Macaca fascicularis: one gene and its partners. The protein of the gene in region 1 purifies or fractionates together with the protein of each later gene. This does not show direct contact. Links are inferred from orthologs where the notes say so. Each region holds a gene or a part of one and is shown in the gene's direction. Other genes may lie near its edges.

What was found.
Region 2: the proteins of CDK19 (region 1) and MED31 purify together in Homo sapiens (affinity purification with mass spectrometry; 6 studies listed by BioGRID and IntAct, counting the BioPlex papers as one, with this or other methods). This does not show direct contact. The link is inferred for Macaca fascicularis from reciprocal best matches to the Homo sapiens genes CDK19 and MED31.
Region 3: the proteins of CDK19 (region 1) and MED1 purify together in Homo sapiens (affinity purification with mass spectrometry; 7 studies listed by BioGRID and IntAct, counting the BioPlex papers as one, with this or other methods). This does not show direct contact. The link is inferred for Macaca fascicularis from reciprocal best matches to the Homo sapiens genes CDK19 and MED1.
Region 4: the proteins of CDK19 (region 1) and MED23 purify together in Homo sapiens (affinity purification with mass spectrometry; 5 studies listed by BioGRID and IntAct, counting the BioPlex papers as one, with this or other methods). This does not show direct contact. The link is inferred for Macaca fascicularis from reciprocal best matches to the Homo sapiens genes CDK19 and MED23.
Region 5: the proteins of CDK19 (region 1) and MED21 purify together in Homo sapiens (affinity purification with mass spectrometry; 6 studies listed by BioGRID and IntAct, counting the BioPlex papers as one, with this or other methods). This does not show direct contact. The link is inferred for Macaca fascicularis from reciprocal best matches to the Homo sapiens genes CDK19 and MED21.
Region 6: the proteins of CDK19 (region 1) and MED13 purify together in Homo sapiens (affinity purification with mass spectrometry; 6 studies listed by BioGRID and IntAct, counting the BioPlex papers as one, with this or other methods). This does not show direct contact. The link is inferred for Macaca fascicularis from reciprocal best matches to the Homo sapiens genes CDK19 and MED13.
Region 7: the proteins of CDK19 (region 1) and MED18 purify together in Homo sapiens (affinity purification with mass spectrometry; 5 studies listed by BioGRID and IntAct, counting the BioPlex papers as one, with this or other methods). This does not show direct contact. The link is inferred for Macaca fascicularis from reciprocal best matches to the Homo sapiens genes CDK19 and MED18.

The regions. Positions count from the first base shown.
Region 1 is NC_088378.1:14,654,570-14,658,069, reverse strand, and holds part of CDK19 (cyclin-dependent kinase 19), read left to right. Parts: intron 1-2,916; coding exon 2,917-2,989; intron 2,990-3,365; coding exon 3,366-3,463; intron 3,464-3,500.
Region 2 is NC_088390.1:6,686,294-6,689,264, reverse strand, and holds the end of MED31 (mediator of RNA polymerase II transcription subunit 31), read left to right. Parts: intron 1-1,139; coding exon 1,140-1,332; 3' UTR 1,333-2,471; downstream 2,472-2,971. Other genes in the region: TXNDC17 (thioredoxin domain-containing protein 17), read right to left, coding at 2,763-2,831. UniProt on the Homo sapiens protein: Component of the Mediator complex, a coactivator involved in the regulated transcription of nearly all RNA polymerase II-dependent genes.
Region 3 is NC_088390.1:60,495,343-60,499,307, reverse strand, and holds the start of MED1 (mediator of RNA polymerase II transcription subunit 1), read left to right. Parts: upstream 1-1,165; 5' UTR 1,166-1,359; coding exon 1,360-1,384; intron 1,385-3,965. UniProt on the Homo sapiens protein: Component of the Mediator complex, a coactivator involved in the regulated transcription of nearly all RNA polymerase II-dependent genes.
Region 4 is NC_088378.1:35,571,250-35,574,749, reverse strand, and holds part of MED23 (mediator of RNA polymerase II transcription subunit 23), read left to right. Parts: coding exon 1-129; intron 130-2,463; coding exon 2,464-2,588; intron 2,589-3,500. UniProt on the Homo sapiens protein: Required for transcriptional activation subsequent to the assembly of the pre-initiation complex. Component of the Mediator complex, a coactivator involved in the regulated transcription of nearly all RNA polymerase II-dependent genes.
Region 5 is NC_088385.1:29,787,043-29,791,189, forward strand, and holds the end of MED21 (mediator of RNA polymerase II transcription subunit 21), read left to right. Parts: intron 1-1,233; coding exon 1,234-1,334; intron 1,335-2,174; coding exon 2,175-2,351; 3' UTR 2,352-3,647; downstream 3,648-4,147. UniProt on the Homo sapiens protein: Component of the Mediator complex, a coactivator involved in the regulated transcription of nearly all RNA polymerase II-dependent genes.
Region 6 is NC_088390.1:46,425,498-46,428,997, reverse strand, and holds part of MED13 (mediator of RNA polymerase II transcription subunit 13), read left to right. Parts: intron 1-951; coding exon 952-1,414; intron 1,415-3,421; coding exon 3,422-3,500. UniProt on the Homo sapiens protein: Component of the Mediator complex, a coactivator involved in the regulated transcription of nearly all RNA polymerase II-dependent genes.
Region 7 is NC_088375.1:206,730,028-206,734,327, reverse strand, and holds the start of MED18 (mediator of RNA polymerase II transcription subunit 18), read left to right. Parts: upstream 1-1,500; 5' UTR 1,501-2,441; coding exon 2,442-2,504; intron 2,505-2,723; coding exon 2,724-2,862; intron 2,863-4,300. UniProt on the Homo sapiens protein: Component of the Mediator complex, a coactivator involved in the regulated transcription of nearly all RNA polymerase II-dependent genes.

The DNA.
Region 1 (3,500 bases):
TGAAAGCAAAGCCCTCGATTCTGGAAGGCCTTATCTTCTAACACTGTTGCATTGGGAATTAAGTTTCAACAACATGAATTTTGGAGGGGACATAAACATTCAAACCATAGTGCACATTAATTATAGGTAGTAATTTCAATGAGAATAGTTAATCTTTTTAAAAAACATATGTAGATTGTTATTTAAACTAGAAACTGAGATTTTAGCATACTAATTATGCCTGTGATTTACAAAAGGTATTCCAGATACCATTAACGTATATAGTTCAGGTTTAGGCTGCAGTATTAAAGACTTTTAAGAATGTAAGGGTCAATGGGTAGTTTATGTCTGTTATGTTTTAGCATGAATAAAGGTCTCCGTTCAAGGCCACAGCTGTGGTTTTATTTTTTCTGAGTAATGACTGGTAACTGATATGCTGGACTAGGAAACCTGGAAGGCTGGCAGAAGGAAGAACATGTGGCTTGGAATATGAGTAAAACAAACTGATGAAGGCATTTACTTTGAGCAGAAATGAGATTAAGGGTGATGGCATGTGAGGTGTTTGTTATAAATATGCACACCTACCGAAAATTGTGGAAGAGCTTCTCTATTGGCAACTTACCAGGAAAATTTTAGGACAGGATGGCTTATAGGAACAAAAGCAGACATCATTAAGAGAAATAGAGATTGGCATTGATCATTTCTGACCCCTTTTTCTCACAATCCTTGGTGAGGTCCTTTGCCTGTATCCATCTCTCAAGGACAGTGCTAATATCAAGGTTCTATCCTGGGCCCTCTTCTCACTCTGGATACTTTCCCAGTCAGATGTCATGATTTTGATGGCCACAATTCACCATCCATTATGTGGATAACTCCCAATATGTATCTTACTCCGTTCACTTTTCCAAGTTTCAAAATCATTTATCTAATTGCCTTATGGAATCCCAACCTGAATGTTCTATAAATTCTTTAAACACCCAAAACCAAACTAGTTATTTTCATTTAACATTGTATGGTACCTTGTTGGCAAGGGTACAGTAAAATGGACATTCCGGCCAGGCACAGTGGCTCACTCATGCCTTTACTCCCCACACTTTGGGAGGCTGAGTCGGGAAGATCTCGAGCCCAGGAGTTTGAAACTAGCCTGGGCAACATAGTTAGACCCTATCTCTATTTTTATTTTTTAAAAATTATTACTCATATGCTACTGGAGAGAATGAGTACTTCTCAAATTTCAGTGTACCTACAAACCACCTGGAGACCTTGTTAAAAATGTAGATTCTAAGTCAGAATCAGGGGTGAGGACTAAGAACCTTCATTTCTAATGCAGGCTCTCAGGTGATGCCCAGGTTGCTGGTAAAGGCTACATTTGTGTAGTGAGATTCTAGAGCACCTAAAAAAGACTTTAAAATGTGCATGCCCTTTGACCTGATAATTCCTGGAATTTATCCTGTGGAAGTAATCAGAGCTGCCACAAATAGATGAGTACTTCTTATATACCAGGGTGGTGCTAAACCCTTTACCGACATTTTTTCCTAAGATCTTCCTAGCAAATCTATAGGGTAGGTATAATTACAGTTTCCACTTTTCAGATTCGGAACCTAAGGCTTTCACAGAGGTTAACTAACTTGCCCAAGATCACACAATTGGTGAATGACTGAATCAGGGTCTAGGAGGGGTCTCTGAGTCTCATCCGCTAGGCAGTGTCGGCTCCCTGCCATGCGTATCAGATTTAGCTACAACGACTTGTATGCCACAGTTATTATGAAACGAGTAATACCCGTACCAGTAGGAGATAGGCAGCCACTCAATAAGTTTGAAGAGTATTTGACAAGGGAAAATGTTTATGGAACAATATTAAATAAAAAGCTAAGACAATTTTTATAGTAGGATTCCAATTTTATAAAAACAAAGCAAAAATTCCTGTGTTTATACCATGTATGTATATGCCACACACACACACAACGCCAAAGGGACATTATAAAAATTTTGTCAGTGGTTTTTTGGCCACGGAGTGGCTTGATTGTGATTTTAATTTTCTTCCTTATACTTTCTATATTCTGTAATTCTTTTTATCATGAACATATATTAACTATTTTTAGACCTTTTTAATTTGAAATATTTCATATGTAGGAAATAATATATAATGAAAAAACATATAGTATATTTAGAATAATAAAATGAATACCCCTTTGCTCACCTCTGAACCTAAGAATTAGAACATCACTAAGATTACTAAAGTACTCTGTGTGCCCCATCTCCCTATCCACCTCCCTCCCAGAGGATAGACTCTGAGTGTTCTGCGTTTGAGTTTATCATCCCACAGTTTTTATTAGAGTTCTAGTCCACATGTTTATGTAACTCTAAAAATATTGTTCAATTTATTGTCTTTCAACTTTTTATAAATGGTAACATATTATGTATTTTCTTCTGCAACTTGCTTTTTCTCCTCACTTAACCTCGCATATTCGTTTTTACTGTTGTATAACATTCCATTCTGTGTATATATAAAAACGTACCCATTTTTCAGTTGATGGACATTTGGGTTGTCTATATATATATATGACCATTACTAAAATGCTGCTAAGAACATTTTTATCCATGTATCCTGATATACATGTGCAAAAGCATCCTTTGACTCAGGTTTGTGCCTAGAAATGGAGTTGATGGGTCATAGGCTATACACATTTTCAACACTAATGGTTAATGCATAACTGTTTTCCGAAGGGATTGTAACAGTGTAAACTCTCATGTTATGTGTGACATTTCCTATTTCTTCACACATTTGCTAATATTTGGTAATGTGTTCCTTCTTAATCAGAAAAAACAATGTCTTAAACACATACCTTATAGGAAAGCCAATCTTGGAGCTTGTCATTAAAAAATATCAATTGGATGAGCGTTCCCAGTGACGTGTGACTGTGTGTGTCCTTGCAGGTATGCCAACAGTAGCCTCATAAAGTACATGGAGAAACACAAGGTCAAGCCCGACAGCAAAGTGTTCCTCTTGGTAGGTGCTTCTCTCCCAGACTGAAATCTGATTCTCAGCACAACTCTCGCCTTCTGTTCACTCAGCTGTTCCTCCTCTTTAGAAACAAAAGAAATTGTTGGATGCTGGGGCAAAATTAAATATTTTTTGTTGAGATGTCACCCTTGTCTTTCAGCCTTCACTTTAAATGATTTATCAGCAGAAAATGAACTTTAAAAGGGCTTTAAGGCTGATGATTTCTGCCAGTTTCACATAAAAGTATGTAGTATGCTTAATCTGCAGTGAGGTATACAAAATGTATTTTATATTAATCCTGTTACACAGGAATACAAAAGGCAAGGCGTTGACTTGTAAACAACCTTTTCATGTGCTCTGCATTTCCTGTGTGTCACTCTAGCTTCAGAAACTCCTGACCATGGATCCAACCAAGAGAATTACCTCGGAGCAAGCTCTGCAGGATCCCTATTTTCAGGAGGACCCTTTGCCAACATTAGAGTATGTGTCCCGTCTTTTCTGTGTCCTTTGCTCCAGG
Region 2 (2,971 bases), on another chromosome or scaffold:
TTTAGCATCTTTTGAAGATATTTGTTTGAAACATTTTTTACTGTGGTGATTTTCGAATTCTGTCATTCTGCATTTATTAGTTTGGAATTCGATTGTAAGGCAGTACATTCCCTTGTTTTCTATTTATTATTTTATTAAAGAAATTTACATCCATTTAGTATTTTATCCTGTGAATTAGAATTATGTATTTTCTTGCTCTGAGTATTCTAGATTTGGCCATTGGGAGTCCCTTCAAGTTGGTTCCTGAATACTTTTGATCGTCCCAATAATTTTTAGCACTTTTTCTTCTGGCACTACGTAATGTTCCAGGCTCATCTTGTACTTTCCCTCTCTTATCCCTGAATCACCCTTTTCTCCAAGGAAACCTGCTCCTTGGATACCACAATCTGGACATTGTGTGTTCATTAGTACCACAGTGTCATTGCTTCTAGGCCCTCTCAGTACACAAAGCTCAAGAACTCTATGTTTGTATGTGTATCCATGCACACATGTATACATCTGTTTATCCTGTCTACCTATATTAAAAGCCCTAAGTACATACTAATGTTTTCAATACCAGCTCAGTAACACAGGATTCATTCTAGCCTTTTTCCTTTCCTTGTCGAAATTTGGCTGTCCTTATCCACAGTATATTTACTTGTCCAATCCTAGAGTATATCTAATTTCAGAGTTGGTATATCCCTGTGGACAAGAAGAGTATAATGTATGTGCATAGTTCTCTTTCAAACCAACTCACTTTTAAATGAAAGTTGTCTTTTTATCACTATTGATGGAAAAACAAAGAACTATCAATTAAACACAGAATTAGTAAAATATGTTCATGTTCTTCACGTTGGAAACCACTAGAAGGGAATAGCATGGTTTGTCCCTACATTTTCACTCTGCTTACCAGTTACTGTGTTGTGTGGTCCTGAGCAAGTTTAAATTTAATCTTTCTGAACTTAAACCTTCTCACTTTCGAAAATATTGCTGAACACTGACCTTTGATGACCAATCAGGGAAAACACCCTATGCTGCCAGTGTGTACTAAGTTAAAGAAATGGTAGGCTACAAGATCATTTTTAAGAGAATAACTTAATTAGACCTTGGCATTATTTACTTAAATTATGTTGTTCATTTACTTATAAACTTAAACCCAGGTACCCTCAGTGTTTACACATGTTAGAGCTGCTCCAATACGAACACTTCCGAAAGGAGCTGGTGAATGCTCAGTGTGCGAAATTCATTGATGAACAGCAGATTCTACATTGGCAGCACTATTCCCGGAAGCGGATGCGCCTTCAGCAAGCCTTGGCAGAGCAGCAACAGCAAAATAACACATCGGGAAAATGAAAAACCGGATACAGATGAGGCTCTCAATACATGTATATAATGTATTTCTTTTGTACAGTGAAGACAAAAAATGAAAACTCTTCCTATCTACCTTTATTATGGTAGCCCCTAGAACCTTTAGTGTGCTTTTTAATCCAACTTTTTATTGTTAATAGACTATTTCTTTTAAACCTGAATTGGTCTACTTTGATTTCCCTGTGGATTTGTAAGGTGTTTTCTTTTGTATGCATTTAGCATAGTCAGCTGATTAAGAATGGAAAAGTTAGGTGCTTTAGACCAAATGAGGCACTGGGGCATGGGGTAGGGGTGGGCCACCAAGTATACTGAATTCTAAGGCTAGCTCTTCCTGACATATAGTAGCGCAAGGCCATCTCCTGGAACCTTACTGTCTCTCAGATCAACTACTCTACCACTCTTATCTATGTAGTGAGAGTAGCGGAGTCAGTGACCTCTTGAAATCACAGGATAGGAACTGCATAAAGGTTCTCAAATTCTGCAGGACAGGAAATCCCTGTATTACCTGCTTTGCAAGGTGGCTTTAAGAATCACTGTGGCCTCATTTGACCTAGTCATGGCAGGACAACTAGTGGTTAATTACTAATTGGACTCTTGACTTTAGAACAAACATGAGGAGCCTCAAATACTTGTGCTCATTTGGGAAAACTAACATTGATTTGGGAGGTACCACATACCAGGTGCTATGTTAAGTGCTTCCTTGAATTCTCATTTTATTCTCAGAACCTTGTTTACAGAAGAGAAAACTGAGGTTTGGATGGGGCGGGTAACTTGCCTGTGGTTACACAGCTAGTAAGTGGTAGAATCAGTGTGACTGACTCCAGCTTGGAGTTCTTCCCACCACTGGGTTACACAGTCTTTCCAGCCCCTCTCCGCCACCTGCCTAATCCCAAGTAAAGCACATTGAGAGAGCCGCAAAACGAACTGCCTCTAGTGCTCAGGATCGGTTTCTTCATGAACAAAACAAAACTGCCTGAATTAAGCAGAGGCTGGATTAGAGGTAATATGCTTCCTTCAGTGGTGAGGTTAGGTTCTACGTTCCAAAATCAAAGAAGGGGTTTCAGGAATATCAGTTGCTTTGCAGATGCAGATAATTTAAAATAAAAGATCCTGATCTTTTGAAAGATTTGGAAGGTGTGCTCTGCGCCTTTAGGAGTTTTTAGGTATTTCCGTCACCTTCAATGATACATTCCTTTGAGCCTTTACTGCTACTTCTGAAGACTTGTTTATATCTTAAAAATATCCATATATTACAGGCAAACTAAAGGTTCATGGGCATTTTAATAGCACTCTACTGTTTAGACACATGCCAGTTTTTTAACCTCATTTATTGCTAACATGTATTCAAAGCAATATACAGTTTATTGATACTAGAACAAATCAGGAAATCAAGACATGATTGCCATCATAAAATCTTAATCTTCAGAGAACAACATTTCCACCAGGTTGGCCTGAAGACACTCAGATTCTACCAGTTTTTGAGGCTGTAAGAGAAGAACAGTCAAATCTTCACTACTCCTATAAAACGTTATTAGGAGTGGAATAGGTTCTGCCTTGAATGACACTAATCTTTGAACACAGAAATTATGCAATTCAGAAACTATCAACTAGTTATAACAAGTTT
Region 3 (3,965 bases), on another chromosome or scaffold:
GTGTCACGATCTCCGCTCACTGCAAGCTCCGCCTCCCGGGTTCACGCCATTCTCCTGCCTCAGCCTCCCGAGTAGCTGGGACTACAGGCACCCGCCACCACGCCCGGCTAATTTTTTTCTATTTTTGGTAGAGACGGGGTTTCACCGTGTTAGCCAGGATGGTCTCGATCTCCTGACCTCGTGATCCGCCTGCCTCGGCCTCCCAAAGTGCTGGGATTACAGGCGTGAGCCACCGCGCCCGGCCGCGCCACTATCTTTCTTAGGATGTAATTACTGCGTCTAGTATCTCAGGTTAAACTTATTTTTCTTTTTTTTTTTTTTTTTTTTTTTGAGACGGAGTCTTGCTCTGTAGCCCGGGCTGGAGTACAGTGGCCGGATCTCAGCTCACCGCAAGCTCCGCCTCCCGGGTTTACGCCATTCTCCTGCCTCAGCCTCCGGAGTAGCTGGGACTACAGGCGCCCGCCACCTCGCCCGGCTAGTTTTTTTGTATTTTTAGTAGAGACGGGGTTTCACGGTGTTAGCCAGGATGGTCTCGATCTCCTGACCTCGTGATCCACCCGTCTCGGCCTCCCAAAGTGCTGGGATTACAGGCTTGAGCCACCGCGCCCGGCCCAAACTTATTTTTCATGAGACATTTCTGATACCGATACCCTTTGAAATGCTAGTCTTGGCCGGGTGACTAGCCAAGGCGAAACCCCGTCTCTACTAAAAATACAAAAATTAGCCAGGCGTGGTGGCGGGTGCCTGTAATCCCAGCTACTAGGGAGGCTGAGGCAGGAGAATCGCTTGAACCCGGGAGACGGAGGTTGCAGTGAGCCGAGATCGTGCCATTGCACTCCGGCCTGGGCGACAAGAGCAAGGCTCCGTGTCAAAAAAAAAAAAAAAAAAAAAAAGCCAGTCTTTAAGTACAGCGACATGTTAATTAATCAGTTAATTTGCGAGTTAACTGCTAAAATAAAATAAGCAAAAAAATGCCGGTTTCCGAAGGGAGCTGAAAGCTACATACAGCGGCGTGAGGCCTGAGACAACTCAGATCAAAGAAGACAGGGCTGAAAGAAATCTCGCGAGGCCCACGCATCGACCAATATTCGCGAGATTTCGATGCCCTGTCCTTTTCCTCTTTCTGGCAGGACCACGGTTTATCTCGCGAATTTTGGGAAGTTCCGTTGGGGAAGATGGCGGCGGCCTCGAGCACCCTTCTCTTCTTGCCGCCGGGGACTTCAGACTGATCCTTCCCGCGAAGAGTAAGGGACTGCTGGTACCCTGCGTCCTGGAATCCCGAGCCAACTTGTTTCCCCCGTTAGTGGTGGGGAAGGGCTTATCCTTTTGTGGCAGATCCAGTCTCTCGCCGCCTTCAGGATGAAAGCTCAGGGGGAAACCGAGGGTAAGTGACTGAGGGGGAAAGGAGGGGGCGGGACACAACTGGGGGAGCCAGTTTGTGAGAGAAGGTTCTTGCAGATGTCCCATGGGGGCCACTTGAGGGGCACAGAGTCCGGGAGAGGGAATGTGTATGAGTTTTAGATTGTCACTATACCCTCCTTGATGACTATAGAGCTTCGACTTTGGGGTGATGGGGACTCTCAACTTCTGTGAAGATTTCATGCTCGGCTAGGGCACTTTTGGCCTAAAGTGGTGCGAGACGGGGCTAGTGAATACAAAACCAGCTTACATCTCCTTCCAGAAGAGACGCCTGAATAAATTTAGGGCTGTGTGTAAACGTACTGGAGACTATTTTGGCATGAATGAAATGATTAATTCCTTGTATTTATTAGCAGCCAGCGGATCCCTACAATGTCAAGTGTTCAGATCCTGTACTGTTGTGTATTTTGTTTTTGTTTTTGTTTTTTTTTTTTTTTTTTTTTTGAGACGGAGTCTCGCTCTGTCGCCCAGGCTGGAGTGCAGTGGCCGGATCTCAGCTCACTGCAAGCTCCGCCTCCTGGGTTCACGCCATTCTCCTGCCTCAGCCTCCCCAGTAGCTGGGACTACAGGCGCCCGCCACCTCGCCCGGCTAGTTTTTTGTATTTTTTTTTAGTAGAGACGGGGTTTCACCGTGTTAGCCAGGATGGTCTCGATCTCCTGACCTCGTGATCCGCCCGTCTCGGCCTCCCAAAGTGCTGGGATTACAGGCTTGAGCCACCGCGCCCGGCCTGTTGTGTATTTTTAAACTGTGCTGAATTTAATTCTTTTATTGACCGAACTAATAACTGCAGAAAAACAACTTTCCTGGGGAACTTTACTAAGATTTTCTAAAGTTCCACACTCCGGCTTAGATGCTTCCTTGGCATTTTGGGCATAGTTCTGTTGATACAGTGAGCTGTGTTATTGTTTGTTTATCTCCAGTTTACTCTGAGCTTTGCAGATTAGGGTCCTTGCCTGATTCATTTTTATATAGTTTCTGGAACGTAATAGTCGCTCAAAAAATCTTGGAGCATCGAAGTGCAGATATTTATCAGCAGGTTTCTCAAGAAAAACAAGGAGTGTGTTTTGGAGGAGAGGTCGAAAGGTGAGGCCCCGCGGGAGCAGTGACTCACATCTGTAATCCCTGCGCTTTGGGAGGCTGAGGCTGGAGGATCCCTTGAGCCCAGGAGTTCGAGACCTGCCTGGGCAACATAGTGAGGCCCTGTCTCTACAAAAAAATGAAAAATTGCCGGGCGCCGTGGCTCACGCCTGTAATCCCAGCACTTTGGGAAGTCGAGGCGGGCGGATCACCTGAGGTTGGGAGATTGAGACCAGCCTGACCAACATGGAGAAACCCTGGCTCTACTAAAAACACAAAATTAGCTGGCTGTGGTGGCGTATGTCTGTAATCCCAGCTACTTGGGAGGCTGAGGTGGGAGGATCACTTGAACCCAGGAGGTGGAGGTTGTGGTGAGCCAAGATTGTGCCATTGCACTCCTGCCTGGGCAACAAGAGGGAAACTTCCTCTCAAAAAAAAAAAAAAAAAAAAAATTGGCTGGGCGTGGTGGCTCATTCCTGTAATCCCAGCATTTTGGGAGACCAAGGTGGCGGATCACCTGAGGTCAGGAGTTCAAGACCAGCCTGGCCAACATGGTGAAACCCTGTCTCTACTAAAAATACAAAATTAGCCCGGCATGGTGGCATGCCTGCAATCCCAGCTACTTGAGAGACTGAGGCAGGAGAATCACTCAAACCCAGGAGGTGGAGGTTGCAGTGAGCCAAGGTGGTGCCACTGGACTCCAGTCTGGGCAACGAGAGCAAAACTCTGTCTCAAAAATATAAATAAATTAATTAAAAATAAATAAATAAATAAAATAAAAAATAAAAAAAATTAGGGCCAGGTAGTGACTCAAGGATGTAGTCCCAGCACTTTGGGAGACCGAAGCAGGCAGATCACTTGAGCTCACAAGTTGGAGACCAGCCTGGACAACCTGGCAAAAGCCTGTCTCTACAACAAATATAAAAATTAACTAGGCATGGTGGCACAAGCCAGTAGTCTCAGCTACTTGGGAGGCTGAGGTGGGAGGATTACCTGAATCCTGTAGGTCAAGGCTCCAGTGAGCCAGAATTGTGCCACTGCACTCCAACCTGGGTGACAGAGCGAGACCCTGTTTCAAGGAAAAATTAGCTATAGCCCCAGCTACTCTGAAGGCTGAGCTGGGAGGATCACTTGATCCTGGAGCATGGGAGGTCGAGGCTACAGTAGACCTTGATTGTGCCAATGCACTTAAGCCGGGGCTGCAGAGTGATGCTCTGTCTTAAAAAAAAAAAAAAAAAAGAAAAAATGTACTCCTCAGGTGCAAGGGGAGAAGGGTAAAAATGGAAACTTTGTGAAGTAGGAGTTTTTGTCTGGTTTGTTCACTGCTGTCTTTTTAGCAATTTCATTTATTCTTTTTCTTTTTTTAAAAAATTTTCCTCTCTAACCCAGTTCAATAACTTTTTTTTGACACAATGTCTCCATCTGTTGCTCAGGATGGAGTAAGTGGTGTGATCAAGGCCCATCTCTG
Region 4 (3,500 bases), about 21 Mb from region 1:
TAGGTAGCTCAGAGGTACAACCGCAGTTTACACGCTTCCTTAGTGATCCCAAAACAGTGCTCTCAGCAGAATCTGAAGAACTGAACCGAGCCTTGATATTGACCTTGGCTAGAGCAACTCATGTTACAGGTACGGTGACTATGTGACTACAAACAAACAAAAACAGATGAATTAAAGTGTGCCGTGATTCTACTAATTACTATGGGTATAACATACTAAAAAGATACTTTTCATTTGTTCAAAAAAAGCCAGTTGTTTTGATATCTTCACTATTTCATTCATTTATGGAAGCTCTTTTGTGTAACATCATTCTATTAATAACTGGGTTGAGCATCAGTTTTCAGTTATCTTCCATAATTTTAAAGTAGTAATTCTTTAAGCTTTTTGGTCTCAAGACTGCTTTACACTCTTAAAATTGAAATTCCCAAAGAGTTTCTGTTTATATGGATTATATCTATGGATATTTATTCTATTAGTAAAATAAAGTTTAAAAATATTTATTAATTTGTTTTTAAATAGTAATAAACATTACATGTTAGCATATGATGTTATGGAAAAAAGTATATTTTGTAAAGCAAAACTTTAGTGAGAAGAGATACCATTGTTTTACATTTTTGCTTCTCTAATACCCGATGTAAAGGAAGACATAGTTTGAATTCTCATCTGCTTAGACATTTAATCCATTGAAGTTTTAGTTGAAGTGAGTAAAAAATGTGGCCTCACACAGATGAGGTTAGAAAGAGAGGAGTATTTTAATAGCCTTTTCAGATCGTTGTGAATGTTCTTTGACATCACATGGAAAAATGATAGTTGCTTAAAAGTTAGTTGCGCCGGGCGCGGTGGCTCACGCCTGTAATCCCAGCACTTTGGGAGGCCAAGACGGGCAGATCACAAGGTCAGGAGATCGAGACCACGGTGAAACCCCGTCTCTACTAAAAATACAAAAAATTAGCCGGGCGCGGTTGTGGGCGCCTGTAGTCCCAGCTACTCGGGAGGCTGAGGCAGGAGAATGGCGTGAACCCGGGAGGCGGAGCTTGCAGTGAGCCGAGATCGCGCCACTGCACTCCAGCCTGGGCGACAGAGCGAGACTCCGTCTCAAAAAAAAAAAAAAAAAGTTAGTTGCAATGTGGAATCCAAAACCCTATCAGTGAACTTCACGTACTTTGTTACATTGTAATCTGAACATCTGTTTTGTACATTTAGTGGATTTTTAAATCCGTGCATGTTTTGTAACTTCATGAGTTATTCATTTTGAAAATATTGGTTCACTGAGTTACGTAGATCTAGCAAATGTTGACATTTTATCATACAGTATCAGAAAATTACATTTGTTAATATCACTGCAAAGTTTATTAGAAAAATCTAAGTTTTAGAATGCTGTCATGTCATGGTGGTAGATACATGTTTTCCAAAATTTCCATTTTTACTTAAAAGGTCAAATTTTATCATTAGTAAAAGTTACTATCATTTGTTTTCCTTGAAGTGACAAGCTCATTTTGTTAATTTTCAAGAAAATGTCTGCTAAATACTTAAGTCTAGCTAACTATAGTTTTCTGTCAGACATTCTTTCAAGTAAAATTGGAATTCAAAAAAAAAAAATGCAGCTGATTTAACTCAGTAGTCAGTCACACAAGTGTTTTTCCTCAAGACACCCATCAAACTTTGGAACACTAGGCATATGCTTCCCATTTTGTTAAATATGATATTAAAAATAAGTGTCGAGATTGACACTGGCACTTTTCTTTTACTGAGTGCATGTGGTGGAGAATACAAAGCCTTTTCATCTAGTTTGGCACCACTGTTTGATTTGTGCTTAGGACCAGCAGTTTTACCACCATTGCTTTTGCACCATCAGTGCTCATATCTAGTAAAAAAGCCAGTGATATCTTTTTATTATTATTTGACCTCACTGAATCTTTGAAGGGCTACTGGGGAATCCCTCAGAGGTCTGAAGACCACACTTTAGAACTGATGTTTTAAAGAGATAGTTACTGATTTTAGCAACCTCAAATACGTTTATGTAAATTATGTTGTTTTATGTAAAGAACCCTCTTCAATTCTGAGATTTATACATGCATTATGTAATTATTTCACTCTCCAAAAAAGACATCTTTCTTTATTCTGTTCCCTTGGCCAAATAAAGTACTACTAAATCAGTGTCAAAATAAATGAACAGTAGTGGTGGACCTGTACCATTATCACTGGTACTCTGTAACTTCAAAAAAGAGATTCCAAATGTCTTTTGTCATCTTTTCATAAATTGTTCTCATATTTTCTAATGTGATCATCCAGATCACTCAGAAACTAAGCAAATTTAGGTTCTAAGCTGGATATAACTAGTTAAGCAATGAATGCACTACAGTGAAATTCTCAGTGTACTTAATTATTATTTTTGCCATAATCTTTTATGAGTTGTGGACATAATCACTTATATCTGGATTACATCTATTTGTTTATGTTTAGATTTTTTTACAGGCTCTGATTCAATTCAGGGAACTTGGTGTAAAGACATACTTCAGACCATCATGAGTTTCACTCCTCATAATTGGGCTTCACACACCCTGAGCTGTTTTCCAGGCCCACTACAGGTAATTTTGTCTTGAATTACTTATTGAATACACATGAAATCCTTCTTCCCATTCACAGTGGTGTTCTAGAGTGAGTCTTGGTGACATCTGAATAAAATTAGCTTTTATTTATTTTAAAAATTATTTAGGGTCTGGGCATGGTAGCACATGCCTCTAGTCCTAACTGCTTGAGAGGCTGAGGCAAGGGGGATGACTTGAGCCCAGGAATTTAAGGTTACAGGGTACTATGGTCACACCACTGCAGCACATCCTGGGTGACAGAGCCAGACCCTATCTCTAGGGGAAAAAAAAAAAAAATTGTCGTTACTTCCAAAATCTCTCAAGTTGTTCTGTGTCCTACTCTGGGACTGGGCATGTTTCTAAAAGTTTAATTTTTGTGGTTTCACCTTAGGTAACAGTTTTAAGGGAAGGAAGAGTAGGAAGAGGAAAAAAAAGTGAAAAAATTTGAAAAAGAGAAAAAAATAGTTAATGGTTTCAGAATCTCATGAAAATTAACATAGTACCTGAAAATTTTTTCTCTCTCATAGAACTGAAATGGGGAGAAGTATAATGTAATAGAACTTCACAGAGTGCACATATATGACACTTCACTGAATTTTTTTTTTTACTCCCAGAAAAACTATAAACCTGGCTTTTCTAGTAGGGAGAAAGGCAAACCTCATCTGTCTTCTCCTTTTCAGAAAAAATGTTAGGCATGATGAACGTCCATTTTTCGTAACTCCTGTTAGGGCTAGAGCATTTGTTTTTCAAATTTACCAAATCACCTGGAGGGCTTGCTAAGCTATAGATGGCTGGCGCCCCAGCCACGGAGCTTCTGATTCAGTAAATCTGGGATAAGGTCTGAGAATTTTGCATTTCTTGTAAGACCAGATGATGCTGATACTGCTGGTGTTGGGACCACACTCTGAGAAT
Region 5 (4,147 bases), on another chromosome or scaffold:
GGTCAGGGACCCACTTGAGCAGGGAGTCTGTCCCTTCTCAGATCTCAACCTCCGTGTTGGGAGATCCACTGCTCTCTTCAAAGCTGTCAGACAGAGTCGTTTGGGTCTGCAGAGGTTTCGGCTGTGTTTGTTATTGCCCTGTCCCCAGAGGTGGAGTCTACCGAGACAGGCAGGTTTCCTTGAGCTGCTGTGAGCTCCACCCAGTTCGAGCTTCCCAGCAGCTTTGTTTACCTACTTAAGCCTCAGCAATGGCGGGCGCCCCTCCCCCAGCCTCGCTGCTGCCTTGCCGGTAGATCACAGACTGCTGTGCTAGCAATGAGGGAGGCTCCGTGGGTGTGGGACCCTCCGGGCCAGGTGTGGGATATGATCTCCTGGTGTGCCTGTTTGCTTAAAGCGCAGTATTGGGGTGGGAGTTACCCGATTTTCCAGGTGTTGTGTGTCTCAGTTCCCCTGGCTAGGAAAAGGGATTCCCTTCCCCCTTGCGCTTCCCAGGTGAGGCAATGCCTCGCCCTGCTTCAGCTCTCGCTGGTCGGGCTGCAACAGCTGACCAGCACCGATTGTCCGGCACTCCCCAGTGAGATGAACCCAGTACCTCAGTTGAAAATGCAGAAATCACCGGTCTTCTGTGTCGCTCGCGCTGGGAGTTGGAGACTGGAGCTGTTCCTATTCGGCCATCTTGCTCTGCCCCCCTATAAATTTCTTTATTCAAGTGACCACTATATTGTCATGATAAATGAAATGACATACATTATGCTTAATTCCCAATTTGAGCTAAATGTATAACAGGATTGGTGCATATTTAATCATTAGACTCATTAGAATCTTTTTTTTGAGATGGAGTTTCGCTTTGTCACCCAGGCTGGAGCGCAGTGATGCAGTCTTGGCTCACTGCAACTTTTTCCTCCCAGGTTCAAGAGATTCTCCTGACTCAGCCTCCTGAGTAGCTGGGATTACAGGCACATGCCACCACGCCTGGTTAATTTTTGTATTTTTAGTAGAGATGGGATTTCACCATGTTGGTCAGGCTGGTCTCAAACTCCTGACCTTGTGATCTGCCCACCTTGGCCTCCCAAAGTCCCGGGATTACAGGTGTGAGCCACCATGCCTGGCCGAATCATTAGAATCTTAGGACAGAAAAAGCTATATGAAGTTTCTGGTTTCATGAACTTAAAATTTGTTTCTGAAAACTTGAGGTTTTCTAATATCCTAATCTAGCAGTATCTTTATCTCTAGAGTATGCCCAGCTTTTTGCAGCACTGATTGCCCGAACCGCAAAAGACATTGATGTTTTGATAGATTCCTTACCCAGTGAAGAATCTACAGCTGCTTTACAGGTAAGCCTCTATTCCTTTGAGAATTTTACCAGTAATAGAGAATTTTGAATTAAAGGAGGTAGATTTAATACCTTTTGTCTGTGTCCATTTGTGCTGCTATAACAACATACCTGAGACAGTAATTTATAAAGAACAAAAATTAATTTTCTCACAGTTCTGGAGTCTGGGAAGTCCAAGATCAAGGCATTTATTACTCATTGTGCATGAGTAATGAATTTTTATTAAACATGGTACCATGTTTAGGACCATGTTGAGGACCTTCTTCCTGTTTCCTCACATGGCTGAAGGCAGAAGGGCAGAAGAGCAAGAGCTCCCTCTTCAACCTCAAGCCATATTTTAAGGGTACTAATTCCATCTATGAGAGCTCTGCCTTTATGACTTAATATCCTCTTAAAGGCCCCTCCCCCTCTTAGTACCATCACATTGGGGATTAGATTTTAATGTATGAATTTTGGAGGGGACACATTCAAATCGTAGTACCTTTTGTGATAATATTCAATTTTCCCTGATAAGAAAACCTCTTATTTTCCTCAATTTTGTCTCTTTTCCTAGTGAAGAATGAGAGGAGGGTGGCATTCTAGATGTGGAGTAGAATAATGGTGTCCAAACGTAGTGTGGAAGGGAGTTACTTACAGATATCTAGAGATCTCTAATTGAAAAGTCATTCTTTTTAATAATTCACATGGGGAAAATTCTTAAAAGTTATCTGATTTTTAGAATTTTTTTACTGAAAAATATATCACAATGATTGCAAAGTCATCCAGATTTAAAAATAAGTACATCTGCGACAGCTTCTCTCCTTCTAAACTCTAAAGATTTTAAAATTTGTGTTTTACAAAGGCTGCTAGCTTATATAAGCTAGAAGAAGAAAACCATGAAGCTGCTACATGTCTGGAGGATGTTGTTTATCGAGGAGACATGCTTCTGGAAAAGATACAAAGCGCACTTGCTGATATTGCACAGTCACAACTGAAGACAAGAAGTGGTAGCCATAGCCAGTCTCTTCCAGATTCATAGCACCAGTGGATACTATGTGGCTGAGAAAAGAACTATTTGAGTGCCATTAATAATTCTGCATCAGACTTAGATACAAGCCTTATCAACAATTACAGAAACATTAAACACTATGACACGTTACCTTTTTAGCTATTTTTAATAGTCTTCTATTTTCACTCTTGATAAATAAGCTTATAAAATCATGACTGAACCAGCTTTAAACCATCATACTCATTTTTTAACTGAGTGAAATTATTGCGGCAGGTAATGCATTAATGAACATAATATAAGGAAACATGTAAAATTCTGTTATGACTTAATTTATGTCTTTATTTTGTTGTATTGGCCAGTACTTTTGCAAATCAAAACATCTCTCAAGCCAGAGGAGAAGACAGTAAGAACAGACATAAGGAACATTTTAGTTTAGGCTAGTGTCCTGCCTCTTAGAAGTGGCATTGTGTAAATCTGAGCTTTGAACAAGAAAGTTTTGGAAATTGTATTGCTCTTAAGAAATAGAGTTAGTGTGGCTGGATAAGAAAGTCACATTTATGCAAATGTTTCTTCTTCCAGAACCTCATACCTGTTCTAGTTCATCTCCATGTTTATTTTACCAAGAAATTTCTCTGTCAAGAGAATTTCCTTGCTGTTGTGAAAAAATTTTTCTACAGCCTGAACTATTTTTCCTATTTCTTTTCACCTTGCTTTTTTTCATCCTTCTCCTTAATTTGCTTGTCATCACAATGAAGTATGTTTTTTGAATCAATTCTTTCTCATTCTCTTCATTTATCTGAAGGTTCTGTCTTTTAACCTCTCAACTTTTATTGCTGTATTCTAGTCAGACCAGAACATAACTTCCACTACATCAGTTACTTGGCACCATTTCACCTCAGTTTATTATTGCCAAATAATACTTTGTGTCAGCATTTTCAACTATGGTTACTCATCCAACCCTTGGATCTCTTTGAGTCTACTGATTATCTCCACTGGAAAGGTGGAATTGAAATGTGGTCCACATTTTAACTGGCCATCTCCTGGGGCTGTATTTTTCAGAATATCCTGAGCTACATTTGCTGCAATCTGTTGCTATTCAGAGTTTAAGTTTCAGGAGAAAAAAAAACAATAGAACACTCTGCCTGTTATTTTTGTGGTAATCAAACTTGTCCACAGTTCTTGAAAAGTACTATGTTTCAAATTTCAGGAACACCAGCATTAGCTGTAAAAGTTGCAGCAATTTATTGGCTAGTCATAGAAATTTTTTGAACTTTTAACTATGTGTATTTTCATTGATGTTTATTAAAAACACTTTGCTATCACAGACATTTGGCATAAATCTCTACTCTTCATTATAGTTTTGGGGGGAGAGAAGATTTGATCAGAAAACTTTTTCAAAGTACCTAAGTGTTATAAAGGAGTCAAAAAGGTACAAATAAAAAGAAAAGGTCAAGATATTTTTCAAATGAAGGAGAACTAACAGGATTTATCACTAGTAAACCTGCTCTAAAAGAATTGTCAAGGGAAGTTTTTTCCTAAAAAAAATTCTAAAAAAACAGCTGCTAAAAAGATTTCCCTTCTTTCTAGAAGGGAAATTATAGCAGAAGGAAACTTAGAATGGCGGGAATAAAGAAGGCACAATGTGTAGGGTAAATATAACAGACTTCTCTTGAGGTTTTAAAAATTACATTTGTTAATTGAAAGAAAAAAATTAACATTGTTTTATGTGATTCTCTGTAGAGCATATACAGGTTTGTTTTTTTAAGTTGAATTCTCTGTCACCCAAGCTGAAGTGCAGTGCTGTGATCATGACTCACTGCAGCTTC
Region 6 (3,500 bases), on another chromosome or scaffold:
CAGCTGTTTTTGTAGATAAAATTTTATTGGAACACAGCCATCCTCATTTATTTATGTATTTTCGCTGGCTGCTTTTGTGCTACAACATTGGAGCTGAGTAGTTGTGTGGTTGCAAAGAGACTGTGTGGTTGCAAAGACGAAAGTATTTATTATCTGACCCTTTACAGAACAAGTTTGCTAATCCCTAATGAGGGATCCCATCAGGTAGGATGAAATTACAGGTTATAGATAAATTTTCTGTTGCCTCTGTAGGGTCTGATGTTTTAATAACATGAAGATTCTTCATTTGTTACAGTTCAGAGATAAAATAATTTATAGTTAATCTCTACCAAACCAAGAAATAGTTCTTTGTTGTAGCTAAGAAAATGACAGCTGTTTAAGACTTACTTGTTACATACGTTTTTTTCTTTCATTCTACCATGCCCAACTGTATTGCTTATAAATACTCTTGAAATAAATATCAGTGGACTTCCTGTAGACTTAATCCAAAGAGATGCAGAACCAAAATATTGAATCTCGTTAGACATTCCTGTAATTTGAACGCCATGATAACATTATACCATTTTATATTTTAATTAGCTGCCAATGTAGCCAATATTTATTTGATTTGTGATTTAGAAACCCTTTGAATAGTTTGGTGAATATTGCTAGATACCTTTTTTTACATTCCATTATACTTAGAAAATAGAATTTTGTTACACTTTCATAGTAATCATTTCTTTAATTTTAAGTGAAAATTCTGGCTTTTTCAATTCCATTTTAAATATGTTTCTTCAGTTTCTAGAGGAAAATAGAAAGCAAATGTAGGTCACACCATTAGCAAGCAATTTAGGGGCTATAATTACCAAGAAAACATCAACTGGATTATGATTCTGTTTACACAGTAGAATAAAAAAAAGAACCAGTCGGTCAAATAAAGAATTAAATTTCCTACCTGTTTTTATTCTTTAGGTCCTTATCTTGCTTCCCTGCCATTGGACAGCTCTCTACTTTCCCAGCCAAATTTAGTTGCCCCTACAAGTCAGTCTTTGATTACTCCACCTCAGATGACAAATACTGGAAATGCTAATACTCCATCTGCCACCTTAGCATCTGCAGCAAGCAGCACTATGACAATGACTTCAGGTGTTGCCATATCTACTTCAGTTGCCACAGCTAATTCAACTTTGACCACAGCTTCAACTTCATCTTCATCATCCTCCAACTTGAATAGTGGAGTATCATCAAATAAACTACCTTCATTTCCACCCTTTGGCAGTATGAACAGTAATGCTGCAGGATCCATGTCTACACAAGCAAATACAGTTCAGAGTGGTCAACTAGGAGGGCAACAGACATCAACTCTACAGACAGCTGGGATTTCTGGAGAATCATCTTCACTTCCCACTCAGCCGCATCCTGATGTGTCTGAAAGGTACCTTTAAAAATACTGCTTTTGGAGAAATATGAAAACTATGATACTTCTTTTTTCTTTTTTTTCTTGAGACAGAGTCTCATTCTTTTGCCCAGGCTGGAGTGCAGTGGCGGGATCTCCATTCACTGCAACCTCTGCCTCCTGGTTTGAAGCGATTCTCCTCCCTCAACTTCCCCAGTAGCTGGAATTACAGGCATGTGCCACCACACCTGGCTAATTTTTGTATTTTTAGTAGAGATGGGGTTTTGCCGTGTTGACCAGGCTCAAACTTCTGACCTCAGGTGATTGGCCCGCCTTGGCTTCCGAAAGTGCTGGGATTACAGACATGAGCCACCATGCCCAACCATGCTGCTTTTTTGTAAATAAGACATTCTGAATGAACATAAAGTGCTTTTTATCTTATTCTTGAAATTTTAGTTTGTATCTTTTTTTAAGACAAGGTCTCACTCTGTCACCCAGACTGGAGTACAGTGCGTGATCACGGCTCACCACAGGCTCGACCTCTTGGGCTCAGGTGATCCTCCCACGTCAGCCTTCTGAGTAGCTGGGACTTACAGGCATGCACAACCACACCCAGCTACTTTTTTGTAGAGACGGGGTTTCACCATGTCGCCCTGGCTGGTCTGGAACTCTTGGACTCAGCGATCTGCCTGCCTTAGCCTCCCAAAGTGCTGGGATTACAGGCATGAGCTACCGCACCAGGTCTAGTGTTGAATATTTTATGTATAAAATTATAATGAGGACTTTACTTCATAAAATCTTTATCATAGAATTCTAGAATCTGAGGGTGGGAATTAAGAGCTTGAAAACCATGTAGTCCAGATGCCCACATGACATTTGAGTCTTCTGTGGCATAATTGTCAAGTAGATTTGCCTCTGCAAATCACTCGAGTGATTGAGAAGTCACTATTGACCCAGTCTATTCAGAGGCTTTAGAGGGGTACTAAAGTTTGAATCTCAGCTCTGCCATTTAGCTGCTTTGTGACTTTGGGGAAACTCTAACTTTCTGAGCATGTTTTCTTATGTGTAAGATGAGAGTAATATGATATAATATACATTAAGTACTTTACACAGTGATTCCAAGTTATTTATGGTGACAGGAATGATCATGACAGCTCTCATTCCTTTTATGATGAAGGTTTTGAGTGATCTTCCCTTTTGATTTATAGGCTAGGTTAACCAGAGCTTAATTATATCTGTCAGCTATCCAGGGTGCAGTTGTGCCCAAAATTACACTCATGGGTAAAAACAAACCATTACCCAGATTGATCCACCTCTCTTGAACATATGAATAGATTTGAAGTGTAAAAAAATCAAATCACTCATCAAAGAATGAAACTTGTTCACCATTGAAGCTATAAAGTATGAAATAAATGTATATAGTCTAAAAATAGGACGAGATTAAGTGGTTCATGCCTGTAATCCTGGCACTTTGAGAGGCTAAGGCAGGAGAATTGCTTGAGACCAAGAGTTCAAGACCAACCTGGTTAACATAGTGAGACCCCCATCTCAAAAAAAAAACATGTATATATAGTCTAAAAATGTACTAGAACATTGAATGAGTCTGGAAACGTGGTTTCTGGAAACATGGTTTCTTTCTGGCCTAGCTCTACCTGTAACCAACTTTATAAATTTGGGAAGCTATTTGAGATAGCCTCAGACAAAGAGACCTATCTTTGTCTCAGTTTTATCCCTTAAACTCTAAGCAATCTTTTGTATCTAATACTCTATGGTTTTAAGAATTCTTTTTTTCTTTTTTTTTCTTTTTCTTTTTTGGTAAATTTAAGGCAAGACCTCTTAAGGCAAGTGTCTTTATACATTGTGGAATTGTATTTACAATGTTTATGGTTAACTTTGGTGAGAAAGAAATGTCCTTCATTTTCAGAGAGGCTTTCTCACACCTTTCACCAAATAAGAGGGAGGAGGGGGGATATTAAGAACCTGCTTAGATGCTACGTCAAGCATATACAGTATAACTTTTTGTCTCATTTCTACCTTAAATTTTAGCACGATGGATCGGGATAAAGTGGGAATCCCCACAGATGGTGATTCACATGCGATCACATATCCACCTGCAATTGTTGTT
Region 7 (4,300 bases), on another chromosome or scaffold:
GGCTAATTTCCTCTTTTACATTTTTAAAATCTTTTTCTGACAGTTGTTTCTCAGCCGGAGTTGTACTAAAGCGCCTAACTGGTCTTTTTTCTTTAATTTTTTTCCAGACAGGATCTCCCTCTGTTGCACAGGCTGGAGTGCAGTGGCACTACCTCAGCTCACCACAACCTCTGCCTCCTGGGCTCAAGCAATCCTCCCACCTCAGCCTCCCAAGTAGCTGGGACTGCAGGTACAAGCCACTACGTTCAGTTAATTTTTGTATTTTTTGTAGAGACAGGGTTTCACCATGTTGTTCAGGCTGGTCTTAATTCCTGAGCTCAAGCTATCTGCCCGCCTTGGCCTCCCAAAGTGCTGGGATTACAGGCCTGAGCCACCATGTCCCGCCTGGTCATTTTTCTCTAGGCTCTCTCCTTTCCCAAACTTTTCTCCATGTTGCAACCAGGGTTCTTTTAAAGCTCACACGTGTTCTTTTAGTCTGGCACTGCAGAGTACTCCTGGATCTGGACCTACTCCTTTTCCAGACTTTTAAATTTTTATTTATTATTTATTTATTTATTTTTTTGAGACAGAGCCTCTCTCTGTATCCCAGGCTACAGTGCAGTGGACGATCTCGGTTCGCTGCAACTTCTGCCTCCCACGTTCAAGCGATTCGCCCACCTCAACTTCCCTAGTAACTGCGATTACAGGCGCGTGTCACCATGTCCGGCTAATTTTTGTATTTTTAATAGAGACGGGGTTTTACCATCTTGGCCAGGCTGGTCTCAAACTCGTGATCTCAAGTGATCCACCTGCCTCGGCCTCCCAAAGTGCTGGGGTTACAGGCGTGAGCCACCGCGCCCTCAGTTCATTTTTCTTTTTAAGCCCATTATAATCTCTGTAAGTCCTATCAGTTCCAAGAGACTTTCTGCACAAATACATCTCCAGGTTGTCAAACCTAAAAATATTTTCCTAGAGGATGGCCTGTGACGTCAAGGCGCCAGGTAGACCCCGGAGGAAAGCTCCAAAGGAGGCCGCCATCTTTCTTACAGCAGCCCGGCATTTTGCGCATGCGCTTCTGATTGTCTGTCCGCAATGACGCTCTTCGGCCTTCTCGGCACCCATACGTTTGGGAACGGCAGTTTCGAGGTTTGTGAGACTTCGGCTTCCGACCGGAAGTGAGAAGAGCAGGAAGTTGGCTGGTTGCACCGGTCTGGGGGCTTCCCGGGCTCCGGTAACCGGAGGACTGGGATCTAATCGTCGCTCAAAGGCTCCTAGGTGCGCGGGTGCATATAATTCCCGACTTCTCGAGAAGACACTAGAGCCTCAAGGAGGTGTGCTTCTAGTGTTTAAGTGGACACGTGTTGTGGATGCTGGCTTAGAAGGACCTATATACCATCATTTTAAAATAACTTCCTCTTGGCTCTCTCTTTTTTTTTGAGACGGAGTTTCGCTCTTGTTGCACAGGCTGGAGTGCAACGGCGCGATCTCAGCTCACCACAACCTCGCCTTCCGGGTTCAAGCGATTCTGCTGCGTCAGCCTCCTGAGTAGCTGGGATTGCAGGCGCTCGCCACCAGGCCTAGCTAATTTTTTGTATTTTTAGTAGAGACGGAGTTTCTTAATGTTGGTCAGGCTGGTCTCGAACTCCCAACCTCCGGTTGATCCGCCAGCCTCGGCCTCCCAAAGTGCTGGGATTACAGGTGTGAGAAACCGCGCCTGGCCTTGGCTCTCTTTAAAAGGCATTTTTAGGCTAGCCGCAGTGACTCTCCCTCCTGTAGTCCCAGCTACTCGGGAGGCTGAGGTGGGAGGATCGCTTGAGCCCAGGAGTTCGAGGTTATAGTGAACTAGGAACTCCCCCACTGCACTCCATCCTGGGCTACAGAGCGAGATCCTGTCACCAAAAAAGAAAAGGGTATGGGGGAAAGGCATTTTCAGAGCGATGGAATGCCTAGATTCTAGTTTGGTCCCAACTCTGCTACCAAGTTGCTGTGTGTATCCTGTCCCTCTCTGAGTCTCAATGTCCTCATCTGTAAAAATGAAGGTCCCTTAAGACACTTTTCAGTTCTTCTGAATTTTGTTGCCTCTTTATTATCTCGTTTGAGCCACATAACCTTGGGAGTTAAAAATCATTGGCCTTTGGCTGGGCGTGGTGGCTCACGCCTATAATGCCAGCACTTTGGGAGGCCCACTCACCTGAGGATCATCTGAGGCCAGGAGTTCAAGGCCAACCTGGCCAACATGACAAAACTCTGTCTCTACTAAAAATATTAAAAAAAATTAGCCGGGTATGGTTGTGGGTGCCTGTAATCCCAGCTACTCGGGAAGCTGAGGCAGGAGAATCGCTTGAACCTGGGAGGCGGAGGCTGCAGTGAACAGAGATTGCACCATTGCACTCCAGCCTGAGCGACAAGAGTGAAACTCTGTCTCAAAAAAAAAAAAAAAAAAAAATTGCTGGTCTCATTTTATGAGGAAGATATTGAGTCCCAGGGTGAGGGGTTATAGACAGGACTTTCTCAAGATTGCACAGGTAACTTGGAGGTTTCAGAACTTGAGACTAGAAGGCAATGCTGTAACTCCATGACCAGATCTCCTTTTTATATTTCTGTATCATCAGTTCCTGGAACTGGCCATGTAAGACACTGAAATGTTTTTAAATGAATGAATCTTTTGATTTGAAGGCCAGTGCCACAACAGATTTGGTCTCTCTCGACTACTCTGATGTATAAACAAGTGAACTCTTTTCCAGGTATATCCCGTGCCTTACCTGACTGGGGGCTCTGAGTCCAGTTGTGTTGTCTTCAACTTAGACACCATGGAGGCACCTCCAGTCACCATGATGCCTGTCACTGGGGGCACCATTAACATGATGGAGTACCTATTGCAGGGTAAGTGAACCAGGGAACTTGGATTACCTGTTTTCCTCTTCTCTGTTCAGCTTCCCTTAAGATGAGAGACAACACAAAAGCAGCCTGCACAGTTTCTGGCACCCAACTATGTTTTTAACTGTTACTTTAAATTACAGTTTTACATGCACTAAACATATTAAATCTGCCATCTTGGCCGGGTGCAGTGACTCACGCGTGTAATCCGAGCACTTTGGGAAGCCGAGGCGGGTGGATCACGAGGTCAGGAGATTGAGACCATCCTGGCTAACACGGTGAAACCCTGTCTCTACTAAAAATACAGAAAGAAATTAGTCCGGCGTGATGGCGGGTGCCTGTAGTCCCAGCTACTTGGGAGGCTGAGGCAGGACAATGGTGCGAGCCTGGGAGGCGGAGATTGCAGTGAGCCGAGATCGCAACACTGCACTCCAGCCTGGGCGACAGAGCAAGACTCTGTCTCAAAAAAAAAAAAAAACCTTAACATATTTAAGTGTACTGTTCAGTATTGTTAAGTATATTAACATTGCTGAACAACAGATCTTTAGAACTTTGGTTTATTGTGAGTAGCTTGAAAAAATACTTAGTACAACTGTTTTTTTCTTTGAGACAGAGTCTCGATCGGTCACCCAGGCTGCAATGCAGTGGCATGATAACAGCTCATGCAACCTCCACTTCCCGGTTCAGTGGATTCTTGTATTTCAGCCCCCCGAATAGCTGGGATTGCAGGCGTGCATCACCATGCCCGGCTAGTTTTTGTATTTTTAGTAGAGAGTTGCAGTTTCATTATGTTGGCCAAACTGATCTTGAACTCTTGCCTTCAAGTGATACACTTGCCTTGGCCTCCCAAAGTGCTAGGATTACAGGGATGAGCCGCCACGCCCAGCCTAAAATGCTTGTTTATCATCCTATAAAACTGCAACTCTTTACCCCTTAAACACTAATTCCCACTCCCCTCTATGCCAAACCCTCAGCAGCTATCTTTCTAGGTCCTGTTTCTCTGATTTTTTTTTTTTTTTTTAAGATGGATTCTCACTCTGTTGCCCAGGATGGAGCACAGTGGTGCAATCTCAGCTTACTGCAGCCCCCACCTCCCAGGTTCAAGCAATTCTCCTGCCTCAGCCTCCTAAGTAGCGGGGTTACAGGCGTGCACCACCATGGCTAGCTAATGTTTGTATTTTTAGTAGAGACGGGGTTTCTCCACGTTGGCCAGGCTGGTCTTGAACTCCTGACCTCAGGTGATCCACCTGCCTTGGTCTCCCAAAGTGCTGGGATTACAGGCGTGAGCCACTGCGCCAGGCCAGATTTTGTCAACAAGTATCTGAATATGTTCCAAACATTTGAGCCATAGCCATGGAGGGAGAAAGATGACTAAAAAATAATGTATGTCAAGCCAGCTATTACAGGCTTATGACTGTAATTCCAGTCGTTTGGGAGGCTAAGG